Linked DNA regions of Daphnia pulex. Each later gene encodes a partner of the first gene's protein in a complex. Links are inferred from orthologs where the notes say so. Each region holds a gene or a part of one and is shown on either strand. Other genes may lie near its edges.

What was found.
Region 2: RNA polymerase I-specific transcription initiation factor RRN3-like (region 1) and DNA-directed RNA polymerases I and III subunit RPAC1-like share a complex: the UniProt entries of both Homo sapiens proteins name them as parts of the pol I pre-initiation complex. The link is inferred for Daphnia pulex from reciprocal best matches to the Homo sapiens genes RRN3 and POLR1C.

The regions. Positions count from the first base shown.
Region 1 is NC_060026.1:14,528,712-14,536,221, reverse strand, and holds RNA polymerase I-specific transcription initiation factor RRN3-like, read left to right. Parts: upstream 1-3,325; 5' UTR 3,326-3,547; coding exon 3,548-3,772; intron 3,773-3,842; coding exon 3,843-4,132; intron 4,133-4,192; coding exon 4,193-4,345; intron 4,346-4,402; coding exon 4,403-4,816; intron 4,817-4,880; coding exon 4,881-5,062; intron 5,063-5,122; coding exon 5,123-5,241; intron 5,242-5,299; coding exon 5,300-5,557; 3' UTR 5,558-6,130; downstream 6,131-7,510. Other genes in the region: uncharacterized protein LOC124203933, read right to left, coding at 348-606, 674-914, 975-1,224, 1,288-1,500, 1,560-1,840, 1,907-2,121, 2,187-2,278, 2,348-2,513 and 2 more; protein piccolo-like, read right to left, coding at 6,449-7,510. UniProt on the Homo sapiens protein: Required for efficient transcription initiation by RNA polymerase I (Pol I). Required for the formation of the competent pre-initiation complex (PIC).
Region 2 is NC_060020.1:1,788,564-1,795,881, reverse strand, and holds DNA-directed RNA polymerases I and III subunit RPAC1-like, read left to right. Parts: upstream 1-2,877; 5' UTR 2,878-2,941; coding exon 2,942-3,034; intron 3,035-3,099; coding exon 3,100-3,171; intron 3,172-3,242; coding exon 3,243-3,483; intron 3,484-3,563; coding exon 3,564-3,683; intron 3,684-3,741; coding exon 3,742-3,924; intron 3,925-4,004; coding exon 4,005-4,121; intron 4,122-4,191; coding exon 4,192-4,314; intron 4,315-4,379; coding exon 4,380-4,492; 3' UTR 4,493-4,497; exon of another isoform or gene 4,498-4,526; intron 4,527-4,575; 3' UTR 4,576-5,410; downstream 5,411-7,318. Other genes in the region: uncharacterized protein LOC124192222, read left to right, coding at 249-386, 1,170-1,538, 1,732-1,823, 1,885-2,120, 2,186-2,352; sodium/potassium/calcium exchanger 1-like, read left to right, coding at 5,538-5,648. UniProt on the Homo sapiens protein: DNA-dependent RNA polymerase catalyzes the transcription of DNA into RNA using the four ribonucleoside triphosphates as substrates.

The sequences.
Region 1 (7,510 bases):
CATGTTTTGCCACCCATTGAAAAGTTATCTTTTTAGGGTGATGGTAGAACAGGTGTCAGCCATGTCTGCATAATTAAAATTATACACTATCCCCACCCCAGCCACCTTTGTTCCATCTCTCAACATTCATTATCCCTCAAACAAGTTGCCATCAACCACCGCAATAATAATTCAACAACATTGTTTTCCATTCCTTCCAGCGGGCATTCTATTCTATTTCAACAATATTATGGGTTCTGAGTAATAAACATGTAAATAAAAGTAATAAGCATTTCTCCCTTCTCTAACATTTGCCACCTTATTTTTGTAATGTTAATAAGGCGCGACTACGGAATGATTTGACTGTTTCAGTTTGCTAAACCTTCTCCAGTGGCCATCCAGACCCATTTGCGTACGACTACATTGTCGATGATTTGATTACAAGATTCATTGTTCGTGTCCAGCTCCAAAATTCTCTTGACGTGATTTCCAGGTTTCGTTGGCAAGGTTTCATCGCCGCACGTAACAATCATGCGAGTGCCGTGATGGTTTAACAAAGCTCGACAGTTTTCTTGGTTCCACGGGCAAGTGATGAGAACGTTTGGCAAACCGACTTCCTTGGCAATCCTATCAAGACGAAGAAATTTAAAAAACCAAATGATAAGCAAAGAAATAACGGACGCTAAATTCTTACTTGAGGAGATTCATAGCGATAGCACTTGTACTATGGACATTGAGTAACATAATCGCATTGCCTTTTAACAAGGCAAACGTAATGATTCGGATCAACGAATCGAGCCTATCACTGTCTGAAGCGATAAGCGCGATGACTCCTACAGGATCAGCAAGGTCGAAGATAACTCCACGTTTAGCTGCACTCGTAGCTACTTTTCCCGTATCGCGACTGATTGCGGTAATTAATTCCAACAGTAAGTCTGCAAAAAAGCACATCTTTCAACAGAATGTATCTCTAATTTGGATTACGAATGTCTTACCAGTTTTGGTGATTAATGGCTCTTGTGTCAGCAACTGCTTGAGAAATTTGGTCACTAGAACGTTCCTATTTCCTTGGCCAGCCCACGAACGTTGCGTCAAGCGTAGACTATCGAGAATGGGAAGCAGAGTTGCGTTGGGCTTTCCATCCCCAAAGGATGAAACATTGTTGAGTTTACTGTCTTTAACGGGCAGCAAGTGATCAAATCCTGGCTCGTAAGAAGCGAATCCATTGACCCAAATGCGAGGTACCTGTTACAAACCGTCCAAAGTTATCATGTGGTTTGTTTGATTTGAATGACGACATCGTAATACCTTGAATTGGTTGATGATGTGCATGGCGATAGACTGCTGCTCACACCACAATGAGATTTCACTCATGCCGGTGAGATTTGTAAGAACGTTGAGTAACTCTGCGGCAGAGCGATAAGAGAAAACAAGCATAGTTTGCCCCAGAATTCCCCACTGGGTAATAGGCATTGAAGGTTGTGCGTTGAAAATAACACGGGCGTTCCCTACGTTCAAAATCTGAGACATTCTATTAGAACAAACAATTGAAATGGGATATTAAAAACAAAAATAATTACATCTAATTTAGTTCCTTGGAGGTAGTCGGTCACTTTTGAGGGAGCTTGATAGCAAGAATCTTCTGTAAAATCAATAGTCTTATCTAATAATTCGCCCGAGCGACTAGCGTTGAAGCGTTCTCGCAAACGCCAATCAATCTCTTCCAACATAGAGTCCTGAACGATCAGGTAAAGACCACAGCTGTTGAAGCTACTCGTCTTCAAAGCGGTAAGTGCGGCATCTACAGCGGCATCGCAATCACCTGTTTCCAACACCACGACTGCTTTTTTCCCGTCGAGATCTTGTTTGGCATTAAAAAAAAACAGGATTAGTTAAAATTATTTAAAATCTCACGGCACAAAGTTACCCAATTTGAGATTCGAAGCTCCATCGCGCAATGCGAGCGCTTGATCATAGCTACCGCAAACAATAATATCGATGCCCTCTGAAGAAGTGATTCCTTTCAACCTTTCAGAACTTCCGGCATACACGCTGCAGTCCAATCCCACTTTGTTTAAAAATTCCCCCATTAAAAGGCATGGAATTGCTAGAAGATCATTTTCAGGGACCAATACAATTGGCCTAAAGTCAAAAGGTAATTCAGTATTTTCGTTTATCAATAAGATAAAGGGCTAACTTATGCTTACATTCCTCTCGAAACGAGTGGTGCGATTGCACGCGACACAGACAGCACTGGATTAGATGAACCCACAATTACAACAGCAATATTGTTCCCAATCTTTGAAAAAAAAACCAATAAACTTTAGTAGAAAAAATTTAGTAATGCAACTGATAATGAATTTAATACTTGAGTAACAGGACATGACTCTAGCTGATCAGCATAATAGGTCCAATAACTTGCAGCTGGAACAATTTCATGTTGGATGCAGTAGCGTAGAGGTTTGCCAAAAGTGGTTGAAAGAGCCAAACCAAGAAGTTTTTGATATTCAGGTTGACTTAATAACATCCCAAGTCTTTAGAAATAATTGGTGATTACAAATACAGAAATAACACATTTAGACAAACATATGATACTCAGTCATTTTGGCAGATGTTTCTAGCCATTGGATGTGTGACCATTTTCTTTGTCTGTCTTGCTTGAGAGCTCTCACAAATTCTTCAAAGTCACCATCAACACGTTTCATAATGGAAACATTCTTGGCCAACTCTTGATGAACAGAGCTAATCATGAGGAACTTGCCCCAATTGGTCCCTTCTCCTTGGCTAGCAGGGACACTTAAAGGTGAAGTGGCAACCCAATTCTGTCATTTAAATAAATTGATGATATGAAACTATGAAGAAATTACATCGATTGTTTTACTTTAAAATCGCGGTCGACCTCCATGCTGCTTTTTCCGTAATTAAGCGTAGCTCCTTTTACAGCTTCAAGAATGTTGACCATCTCAGGATGAGTGTTTAGCTCTAATATTTCTTCCTGTAAAAGTTCAGCAAACGAATGTTATATGGAATGTTTGAGATAATTTATGGATACACTTAAAGATAATTCGATCGTACGCTTTATTACGGAAATTACGTTGTCACTTGCCAGCTGTTTGTCTCTGTCAAAACAAGTTGAAATATCGTGCGTGAATACAGCTGTCACATCTTACCTGAGTCATTATGGCAAAACAACTTTAACCACAACTTTCGTTTTCATTTTGGCTTCGAGTTAAAAAAAAATCCTAATAATAAAATTTATAAAATGTTGCTCGTTTTCGATGTTTGGAACTATTATTTTAAATTTATAAATGTATTAAATCGTAAAGAAATTTGACAACGCTGTAGGCTAATAGTATCATCGCACTAGCAGACTGATAAAAAATCAGCGCGAGCAGTGAGAGCTACATTGATGAGACAACGTGGTCTTGGCCGTTTTTTTTCAGTTTTAGTGATTGCAAAGATCACAAGCACAGAGCTCATCACTATAGTAAAATCAGAAATCGTTAAGAGTTCGAGAACCAAGTAGTTTTATTTTTTATTATTGTATTAAGTAAAAGAAACGATAGCCATGGCGAGTACGAATTGCTCCCAGTTGACTCCCATACCACAGTCCATATTGAAACCCAGTTCGCGAATCAGTATGCAACCCAAGAAACTTTCCCAGCCTTTGCAGGTCCGATTTGACTCCTTGGTCACAATTGACGTGGTTTCAATTTTGAAGGATTATATCGAAGGGCGAAGCGAAGTGAAATATCACCAATTATTGAATCTGAAAAATGATCCTAATGTCAATGTAAGTAATTTGGGGAAAAAACTGGACGTAGGATTACAAGATTACGAACTAAGAATTTTTTTATTTTTAGGATGGATTTTTACTCCTGATTCTTCAACAAGTAAACAGCTCTATCAGTCTGCTGACTCCAAAAGTTGATTCCTTTGTTGATGCATTGCTGCATATTTCATGGACAACAAGACAGCCCCCAGTACTTGATGAATATTTGACATTTCTCCAAACACTAGTTTCAGCACACACATTCTACTGTAGATCAGTAGTCAAAATGCTAGTCTCACATCTGACACTTAATTCAGACTGTGAAAAATCTACATCGAATGTGCATCTAGTTTTGAGGGGAATTTTGCAGCTGATACCATTGTAAGAGCCCTGTAATTATTTGTTTCCAGGATCAAGAAAATAATGTTTTTGTATTGACAGGTCTCAAAGTATTATTTGGGATTCTTTAAATAATGGTTTTCCCTACATTGGATCAAGCAGTTGCAATCAAGTAAACTACATCAGAAATCTTCTACATTTTGTTGAATACCATGAAATGTCTGGACCCCGTGTTTTACATCTCATCATTGGAAGGTATGTCAGTCTTTAATTCATTTATTTTAATTAACTAATTGAATAATTTTTGTATAGAATCATTAAATTGGACAGCAGAGTTTCAAGAGAGGACTTGCTACAAAAATTCAATCAGCCTATGGAGTTTGATGAGGATACAGTCTTGAATCAAGCTTCTGAAACGTTAGACGAAATCATGAAAGTTATGTTTGAGTTGTGTCATCGCAAATGTCATAGCGAATGGATTGTTCATCGGAATTTTTATCAGGACATGTACGCTACGTTCGAATCTTTGATACTACCGGCCGCCGGTATCCATCATGTCCATTACTTGATGTTCTACATATGTAGTACCAAAACTGCTCTCTATGAAGCTTTTACTGAGCGCTTGTGGGTCATTTTTCTTACCCCTTCATCTCAGTTGAATATTCGAAAATCGTGTGCCGATTACCTTGCTTCGTTTTTGGGGAGAGCCTCTTTTGTACCCATGAAGTACGTTCACATTTGTGATAATAAGACCAATCAAACCAAACATTAACTCGTGATTTCTCTAAAGGTACGTCATTGACTGTCTGGATCGAGTGTGTCAGTGGATTCACGCATACCTCGATCGGCAATCAAAGGGTGAGGGAGCAGCTGTTTTTAAAATCCGAGCCCATGCAGCATTCTATGCCGCTTGTCATATTCCCTTCTACGTTTTGGCTGCTAGGCATCGAGATATTGTCAACGACAGAAAGCGTACGATGATCGTTCTTTCTTATTGTTGGAATTCAATTAACCTTTTGATCATTTTTGCAGTTCTCGCCCGATTGCAAGCCCTGGATTTGAACCGAATTGTCAACTCACCTTTGAACCCACTACGCTATTGTCACGCTACAACTGTCAGACAATTCGCAGAATCCGCTTCACATCTGCAGGTTGTACCACTATCAATCAAGTTGATTTGTAACGTAATTAACCGAAATTCTCGTTTAGATTGTATTCTGTCACACCATCATGATTCGTAATCAGAGGGTTTGTATACCTGAAGCTACAACTGACACATTTGTCATGGATACAGAATATCCATTCGAGAAATACCTCTTGCCCTCATCGATGGACTTTGTGTCACCTCTTGTTATTGACAAACCTATCGGTCGTGACGATTCACTCTACGACAGCGATCAGGTTATGGAGGAGCTTTTGTCTGAATCACCAAGAGTTGGCGGCTTTATGCACCACTTCATGGGTTGATTTCATCGATATTGTCGTTGGTAAAATCTAAAATTTACCCCATTTTCCCTGTTTCTTTATTTTCTGCAATTCTCTACATCTTTATTACCATATGACCGTCTTTTCCCATTCGTGTCGGTTAAATTATGTATATTAACGTGGTATATATTCACTCGATCGTGCCTATTTGTTGGAAGACCGTTGAAATTAACATTTTTTCCTTTTGGGTCTTGGTCTACGGATTAATCATCCGTTACGCTATTCACAACTTCGGGAGCTGATCACTGCTGCGGTTTTTCTTCGTAAGAACATTATTTTTCCTTTTTCTATACTCGATCGTATTGGGCGGCTTGGGACGTACGTTGAAATTCTCCTTTGATTCGTGGGCTTGTTAAATTTCTTTTTGTCTACTCTCCCGATTACCGCAATGTTATTTGCTCTCCCCTTCGATTTCGCCGTTTCCTATTCAACTTACAAAGATGTTGTCGCCAGCGTGTAATGAAAATTAAAGTTTTCGTGTAATTCATTTGAAAAAAAAAATTGCCACTTAAAAACCAGTTCCCTTTAGTGAGAATAAAATTCAAGTGAAGCGTGTCGGTTGCATTTGGGAATATAAAAATCGTATAATTCTGTTTTCATCAAACACCTATTTATACATCAGTTGAAAGAAAGAATAAACTTTGGTAGGTGAAGAGGCGGGTAAAGGCACTGCAATTCAATGCGCACATTATGGGTTTTGGCGCATATTTTTTTTAAACACCAACAGGGGACTACCAAACAAACATGCAGGCATGCTGAAAAAGACGAATGGTGACATGTACACTAGCGCCAAGCGGTCGTGACACCCATCATTCTTCTGATTTTACATCACGGTGCTGCAGGTAATAAACTTCAATACTACATTCATTCACTTTATTCGTAATTATAATGTTTGGAAACTCGTGATCCGATTTTGGTCCACCAGGTCGAATAACCTCCGGAACTCTCCTTAGGATCGGCTGCTATTCCGGGAGGCTTTAGGTACTTGACGGGCCTTTGAGTTAAGCCGGGCAAGGTGGACTGCTTGAAAATTGCGGGCTTCTTCTTTTTGCCTTCGTATGCAAATGGATTGGCAGGGTAGTCCTTGGTTCCCTTTTCGGTGATGAAAGCCACTTCTGAGGTGAATGGAGGTTCATTCACTTCTTCCTCCTGTTCCGTCTCCGTAAGAAAATCGATATTGGCGACTCCACCTTCGACAGCCACAACAGGTTCATCTTCTACCTCGATGGGTGTTTCAGCATTGATGACCACAACAGGCTCTTCGGCAATACCAAAAGTTACCTGGGGTTCTTCTTCTTCCGTCTCAGGAGCCGTGTTAACTTGTAAGACGCTCACTTCTTCGACAGCCACGATAACAGGTTTCTCCTCATTGTCAGCCGATACTTTGACAATGATAATTTCTCCTACAGGTTCTTCAACATCTGACATGGGCGTCTCTGGTACTACGACAGTCATGGGAAGCATGGAAGATCTAGTCAAGTCCTCTTCGATCTTGGCCACCATCATTTCATCCATGGTGATTGGCAAATCGGTTGTAACTGATACATCGTCTTCGTCGTCGGATGGGGTTTCCTGGACAATTTCAGCCGGAACTGGAAGATCTTCTTTCAAGATTTCCTCAACTTGGGCTGGAACGATTTCATCCTGTGAAACATCAATTGATGATGAAATGATTTCGTCAAGCACTTCGTCAACTTGAGGTGCAACGATTTCGTCGTCTGAAATGTCAGCTTGTGGTGGAACATTGTCGTTCTGTACTAGGTCGTCAACTTGTAGTGCAACGATTTCATCTCGGTCAACGTCGTCTTGAGTTGAAGCGGTCTCATCCTGTACCTTTTTCAAATCAATTTCTGGGATAAGGACTTCTTCTTCGACAACTGGAACAGCAAAGGGGACAGTTTCGGTGACGGCTTCTTCAGTTACCACTTCAGCTCT
Region 2 (7,318 bases), on another chromosome or scaffold:
CTCGGGTTGGTTTCCGTTCCAAAGTTCTCTATAAACCAGTAGGCAACGAACTCTCCACGGTAGCCGGACGAAAGAAAAACCTTCCCAGTCCATTTGTTTCTCCACCTGAAACGAGTGCCGTTTTCATTTCTATTCGAACTCGACTACACAAAGGGAACCTGCTGGTAAGTGACATATAGAGATACTATTGCTATAATCGCCTAACCATTCGATTACCTTCTCTATTGGACGCGATGAAGATTATTACGATGGAGGGCTCAGGCTACTATTACGAACTACCAGTTCCACGAGGAAATGTCGCTAACTACGGCGGTCTCAATGGAAACATCTACGGTCCTCCTCCGCCGATGCCCTACACCAATTCCATGCAGGGCAATTACATGCAGGTACGCTCTGCTTTTAATTAAACGAATATTGGAAAATGACAAAACTGCCAACCTTAACATATTGAGATAAGAAGGCCGTTTTTCGATTCCGATGTACGTTTTTTGAATACCACTCACACAATTAGCGACAATTTGTTGTGCGAATATGTAAAGCGATTGCCGAAAAATCAGGTGACGGTTCTGCGTACAGGCCTAATGGATTTGGTAAGAGATTAGTATAAGGAGATGACCGATGAGCATAGAGAGAAATGTGTCGACAAATTTAATACGGAATGTTTATTATTCAACTCAGTCGCAAAAAAAAGGAACATCAGCTATGTTTACTTTAATTTCCTGTTGGCGTCGTCTCCTTCTCTCATACCCCCTCCTATCCAGCCAGTCTAATTTTGAACGCTCATTTTTGTGTTAGCTCCTATCGGTCAAAACCTCTCATCGTATCTTGTTCAGATCCCTTCTTTTCGGAACTTGGGCGTGTAAAACTTGGATGAGAATGCGGAACAGGTAAATTAAAGAACCAAAAATAAAAAAATAGAGATAGGGGGTGCATATGGAAAGAAGGAAATGCTGGTATAGTGGCGACTGGCCAAGTGCTAGCGCGGCTGGTGGAAAATAGAATGTGTTTAGGCTGTATGCGCGATTTATTTCCCAACCAGTTTGCTGATATTATACACGCCTAAAGCCTAGTTAGTTATTTTAATAAAAATTCCTTAAGCAAAATTCATAACGTTTTTATGATCAAATTAAAAAAAAAATTTCAATTACTTCTTCTTGTTTGTATTTCAGGCACCGGGTTGCCGAGGAGCCGTCCCGAGAGTTGCGAATCATTTTCCGCAATCGATGTTTGCTCGAGAGAGAGACGGATATCTACGAGATAGACTTGAATGTGATGAAGACGATGATGAAGACATTGAACCTGTCAATACTCAGAAAGACAGACCCCGTCGTAATCGAGCTTCGAAATTGGATGATGACGACGAAGAATTTGAACCTGTCAAAATCCCGGTTCGTTCGCGCCACACTCGTGCGTCGTACTTGGATAGTGATGACGACATTGCACCCGTCAAGACTACCGGTACCACGACCAGGGCGCGCTACAGTGCCGCTTCGTGTTTGGATGATGATGCTAACGGAGAACCCGTCATGAAACTAGAGGTAAATTTATTTGAGCGCTTTGTGAACCACCCACGTATTTTGCATAGCGTAGCATATCTTAAAAATAGTTTTATTCTATAGCTGATAGAATAAGCTCAAATTATTAGAAATTACCGTTGGGTTCTAAGTTTTGATTCTATAAGTTGACTACATTTTTGTTTGATCAATTAACAAACCATTAGCTCACTTTCAGGATATCGAAGAAGATTTACGCAAATTGCGTGAGGCGACTTCGTCAGTGCTCAATCGCTTCGCCACGAAGACCAACACCCAACCCTCTACTCGGTAACGAACAAATCAAATTTTCACGCAAATGAACCAGATGGTATTTAATGAATATCAATAGTTTGTCTCGTTTCTTTTCGAGCTATCTGAACGATGATAAGGATTACGAGAAGAGAAGCTCAAGTTACAGCTCTGATAGCTACAGTCCTAGCTACAGCAGCTCGTATGCCAGGCCGTCGTCGATAAAGCCGGTCGACTCTTCATCTTACGATCCGCCCGTCTACGATAAGCGCTACTCAATGTACTTGTCTAGCCGTTCCACTAACAAGGATTCGGATTTGGAAAAAGACGCAGCAGGTAAACCACATCCTCTACCAATTGTAATTTTTTTTGTTACCTGCAAATGAACTTCTTAATTACAGGAAAATCTGATCGAGGACCGATCCCGCAGGCAACAGCAGAACCGGAGTCGTATTCGAGACGTAGAACACCAAGGGCTTCAGCTTCAAGCGACGATAACAGCAAAATCAATTCACGAATTGCTGTCATGTCCAAATACATTCTTTCAAAGAATAAGACAAAAAATTAAATAAATGACAAAGACGAATACATTTTTTTTTTCATAGATGGTTCAGTCTCAGGATAAATGCCCCATTTATTCTCTCTCCTCCGAAAGAAATAATTTACCCATACATTACATGTCTGTAAAATGCTGACGTATTAGTTTAGTTCGGACTGTTTGATACGCCGAATATACTTCAGCTTATACCGTAAGTATCGCGCTAACATCCAAGCTAACTGTTTATATCGTGTACAGTTACTGTGTCTAACGTGTATGTGTTATTTGCCTCAGAAAAAATAGAAATATAAAAACTCAACAAATTCCTTGAAATACTATTGGAAATAGGATTTTCTTTTTTTGAGAGGAGGGTGTTTATTGGCTATCAAAATAATATTTAATTTCTTATTATTTACCTTTACCCTATAATATATGTCCGTTTGTTTTCTAGAAAAGCGGTTTCGATTTGAACTGAATTAAACTGAGAGACGGTGGCGAGACGGTGGCGACATCTTGCAGTAAATTTTAAAAATAAATAAAAGCAGACGACACTTTTCACAATAGTCATTATTTGCCAATTTTTCCCTCGTCCAGACACGTGTTAAAGCTCAACGGAAAAATGAGTAAAAGTAAAGTTAAATATTCATCAAGCAAGGAATACATTGATGAAAGTAGGAATGAACTCGTGCTGACAGAATTCGAAGTTCTTAATGTAATACTACATAACAGAAATCTTCCTAAGTTCAACCAAATTTAATAATAAAAATAACTATTTAGGCTGAAGCCACAGACTTCCCAGGAAATCATCATGGGTTTGACGACAGTTGGAGTTTTGAAAAGTTCAAAAAGGTTCTTCTAAGAAAAGTTCTACACTATAAGTAGATAAAAAGAGAGCATTACCATTTTTTCTGATTTTGTAGAGGCTCAAAATTAACATTGTCCGCATGGAAAATATGGAAATGGAGTTTGATTTGATTGGTGTTGATCCAGCCATACCAAATGCTTTTCGTCGTATTTTGCTGTCTGATATTCCCACCATGGCCTTCGACAAAGTCTTCATGTTCAACAATACCTCAATCATCCAAGATGAAGTCTTGGCCCACAGACTGGGACTGATACCATTGAAAGCTGACCCAAGATTGTTTGAATTCAGAGCTGAAGGTATACTCCAAACACCCATTCTTTTCTTTGTCACCTTACTTCATATAACTGAATCTTTGTTACCCCATCTCTCATTTTAGATGATGATACTGGGACTCCTGAAGATACACTTGAATTTGAGTTAAAAGTGAAATGTTCGTGGAATCCTCAAAGGACTAAAGATCATACAAATCCTGAACACTTGTACAGGGATTTCAGAGGTAAGAAGGGAAACTCAAACCTTTTTTTTTCGACAGAATGCTGACCTACTTTTTTCAGTTTTGACATCTCATTTGAAATGGATTCCACTGGGTGGCCAAAAAGATATCTTTACCCCTGATGCAGTTGGACCAGTTGACGATAACATTCTAATCGCAAAAATGAGACCTGGTCACGAACTTGACATCAAATTGCACGCAATGAAAGGGACCGGACGAGAACATGCAAAATTCTCACCCGTTGGTTAGTTTTATTGTTTTTTTTTATGATTAAGAATTTTTGGACCGAGATTTAAACAAAAACTATTTTTCTATTTTCTCAAGCTACCGCATTTTACCGTCTCCTACCACAAGTGAAACTTCTTAAGGAAGTGGAAGGTGAAGCTGCCCAAAGATTACAAAAGTGCTTTTCCCCTGGGGTTATTGATTTGGTCGACTCAGGTTTGCTACATACTATATTTTTTCTTCTAGCTTAATTAGTGTGAAGCACTACCTTTTTATTCTATTTCAGGTGAAAAGAAGGTTGCCAAAGTCAACGATGCCCGATATGACATCTGCAGCCGCAACGTATTCCGTCACGAAGATCTAAAAGAGGACACTGTAAAGCTGACCCGAGCACGCGACCATTTCATCTGTAAGTATTGTTATTGGATTTTTGCTTATTCCTTACTTTAGCGATGCATTTGAAAATGTGTTTAGTTTACATCGAGTCTACTGGAGCACTGGCGCCGGAGGTCCTCTTCACTGAAGCCGCCAAGATCCTGTCACAAAAATGCCGTGTATTTTTGGATGAATTGAAGAATGGACTGTAGGAATGGTATCCTAAATAGACGCGTTGATTCATGACGATTACGCATTATTAGTTCACCTGGAGGCGTTTGTGCCGTTGATATAGTTATCACCCAGGATTCCAGCCGAGTGACCCAGAACTGCATTTAGAAACCGAAACCGGAGCTTTTCAAACGGAAGGAAGGGAAGACTTATTTAAAAAATTTGAGGGGTGGAGGCGAGCAACTAATTCTTCCTGGTTTTACGGAAGGATACCTATCCTTTTTCATATGTTCCTTTCCATCGCTATTTTTATTTGCCTTCTGCAACAATGGCTTCTGTTTGTTTCGCTACTGGTTTTACGAAACGTTGGCGCTAGACTTGCTAGATAAGCTGTAGTAGCCTCTTATTGACCTTGGATCCTAAGGTTTTGATTGTTTTGGATGTGAACCGAGATGTTCCTCCTTCTAATGTTCTTCTTCCTTCCTTCTCACATTTTGTTTACACCGCCAATTCGTTTTAGCCCATTGTGGAATATGCGTAGGTGGTGCCAAGAAAGTCTAGGCAGATGAGATGAAGGAAATGGGAAGAAGAACAAGAAGTGTATTCTGTTTTGTTTTTTATCTCCTCTCCCTTTCTCTTTCCCTTCTTCTTCTTCCTATTTTCTTTTCTCTCTTTCTCTTAAGTCTATTTCTCATTGACCGTGGCATCTAAATTTAGTGCTCGTGGAAGCTTGTGGAAGCTTGCGAGCTTGTGGAAGAGTTTTGTTTCGGACGTAGAGCACTCGGGTCGCTTTCCATCTCCACGTTCACTACAAGTACAGTCGACGACGCACTCTGCTTGGTGGCCGGACGAAAGAAAAACCGTCTCCCTCAATCAAAAGACCCCTTTCCCCCATCTGGGCCGATCGTGAAGTTGTTAATTAGGGAGATCTTTTTTCTCATTTGGACTTGGCTGGACAACAGAAATTGGGTAAGAGAATGCCTCATATAAATTTATGCCTATGATTGTCTATTCATTTTTATTTCGGTTTTGAACCCCTATCGTTTCCTATTTTCATTCTTCGGATCCGGAGAAGACGATTACGCAATGGCAGGCTACTACTCCAGTCAACGAGGATATGGTGGCTCCTACGGTAGCTCCTATGGCGGTTCATCATCGTCGGCCTACACGTCATCCCTGCGTAGCAACTATATGCCGGTAAGTCTCCCATTATTGGGGCGGTTGAAATCCCCTCAACTGTTTTCTTTTCTTCGTTCATTTTTTGCTTCACAGCCAAACCAAAAACAACAAAAAAAAATTTTTGTTTTTTGCTGTGATGACAAAACTAGAACGTCGCCAACTAAAAACGAGTGAAGATATTAGGCCGTCTTTCGTGCAGCGTCAAGTTTTAGGAGCCAAGTTATTAGAAAATGCAAAAGATAGGAGGATATCTCGTAATGGGAACAATAGAAGATGCGTTTTAATGTGATTGTGTGTGTGTGTGTATACGTGAGTGCTCCTGACGCGAAGACAAAAGAAGAAGAAGGAAGTGGATCTCGGTTGAGTCTCTGGCATCGCAAATCACAGCCAAAAAAGAAAAAAAGGAACACAGCTTCATTCCTCCTTTTATTTTTGTGTTTTTCGTGTTTTCATAGCATTCACAGCTGACATTTTGCGAAATGGGTGGGCAAGCTATCAGTAAGATTCACGTTGGCACGAGGGAGAGAAGAGTGATGGGTTGATTGCTAAATGTCACAAGCACATATCCCGCGATGTACTGTAAATCGCGATCGCAAAACGAGGGAAGGATGAGCGTGGGCGGTGTTTACGCCAACTTCCTTCCTAATAGATCCTAGTAATCCTGCGCTCCCAGCACCTCCGGGGTCTAATTTTGGATGGACCAACACCACGTGATCTTATCCCGAACTTTTTTGTGTGAGTTGATTTTTCTGATTTTTTTTTTCGCGTCCAGTTTAAAAGTCTCGTGTTGTTTGTGCCAACTCATATCGGCCAAAAAGTCCCGTCGCTGTCTTATTTGGATCCCTTGCCGTACGTAGAACTTGGTCGTTGATCTTGTTTACCTTATGTTTTGCTTTTGGGGAGTTTGTTTATTCGAGTCAATGTCTTCTTCAGCACGTACGGTGATACTAGGGTCTTGGGCTAGGACTTGGAAGAGAATGCGAGTTGGGTACGTCGGAACGCCAGAGACTTCCTTCTTGGATTCGATCCTTTTGGTAACCGTTTCTTGGCAATCAGATCGAGTACGTCACGCCAAGTTCAGCCAAGAATATGTAACACACTTTCTCTCGTCAAGTTCTTTTGTTTCTTTTCTTATATTTTGCCAGAAGTCGATTCTGGTCAACAATGCACGAGTTAGGAGACTACGGCTGGATATAGAGGCTGGTGGGTTGAATGTGCGGAAATGATTTGGGGAATGGTGTCGAGTCTCGGCGACCGGGAGTCTAAGAATAACAGAACGAATCATAGAGTCCATCAAGCCTGTCAAGTGAGAAACAGCGGCTTCTTTGACTGCACACATTTCCTTTGTAATTGAATGCCTTCTCGCACAAAGAATAATACGAGTGGTTTGAATGGAAGGAGGGGGGGGATAGAGAGAACAACGATGGCTGGTGCGATAGCGGAAGGGAGACACGGAGAGAAACGGTCGGGCGTGTCAAAATGATTGCTTTTTCGGTGTCGCCAAGCAATGGCCAAGAAAGCAGGCGTTATGCTTCGCGTTCGCGCCTACCAATTGTTATCCTTCACTTCCAATGTCCGCCCTTTTCGCTAGCCGCAATCGCACGCCGTCATTCACGTTGACGTCCTTTTGCGGATTTTCACTGGCCTTAATAGGCTTTCAGAGCCCAGCTCCAGACTATTACTGGTGT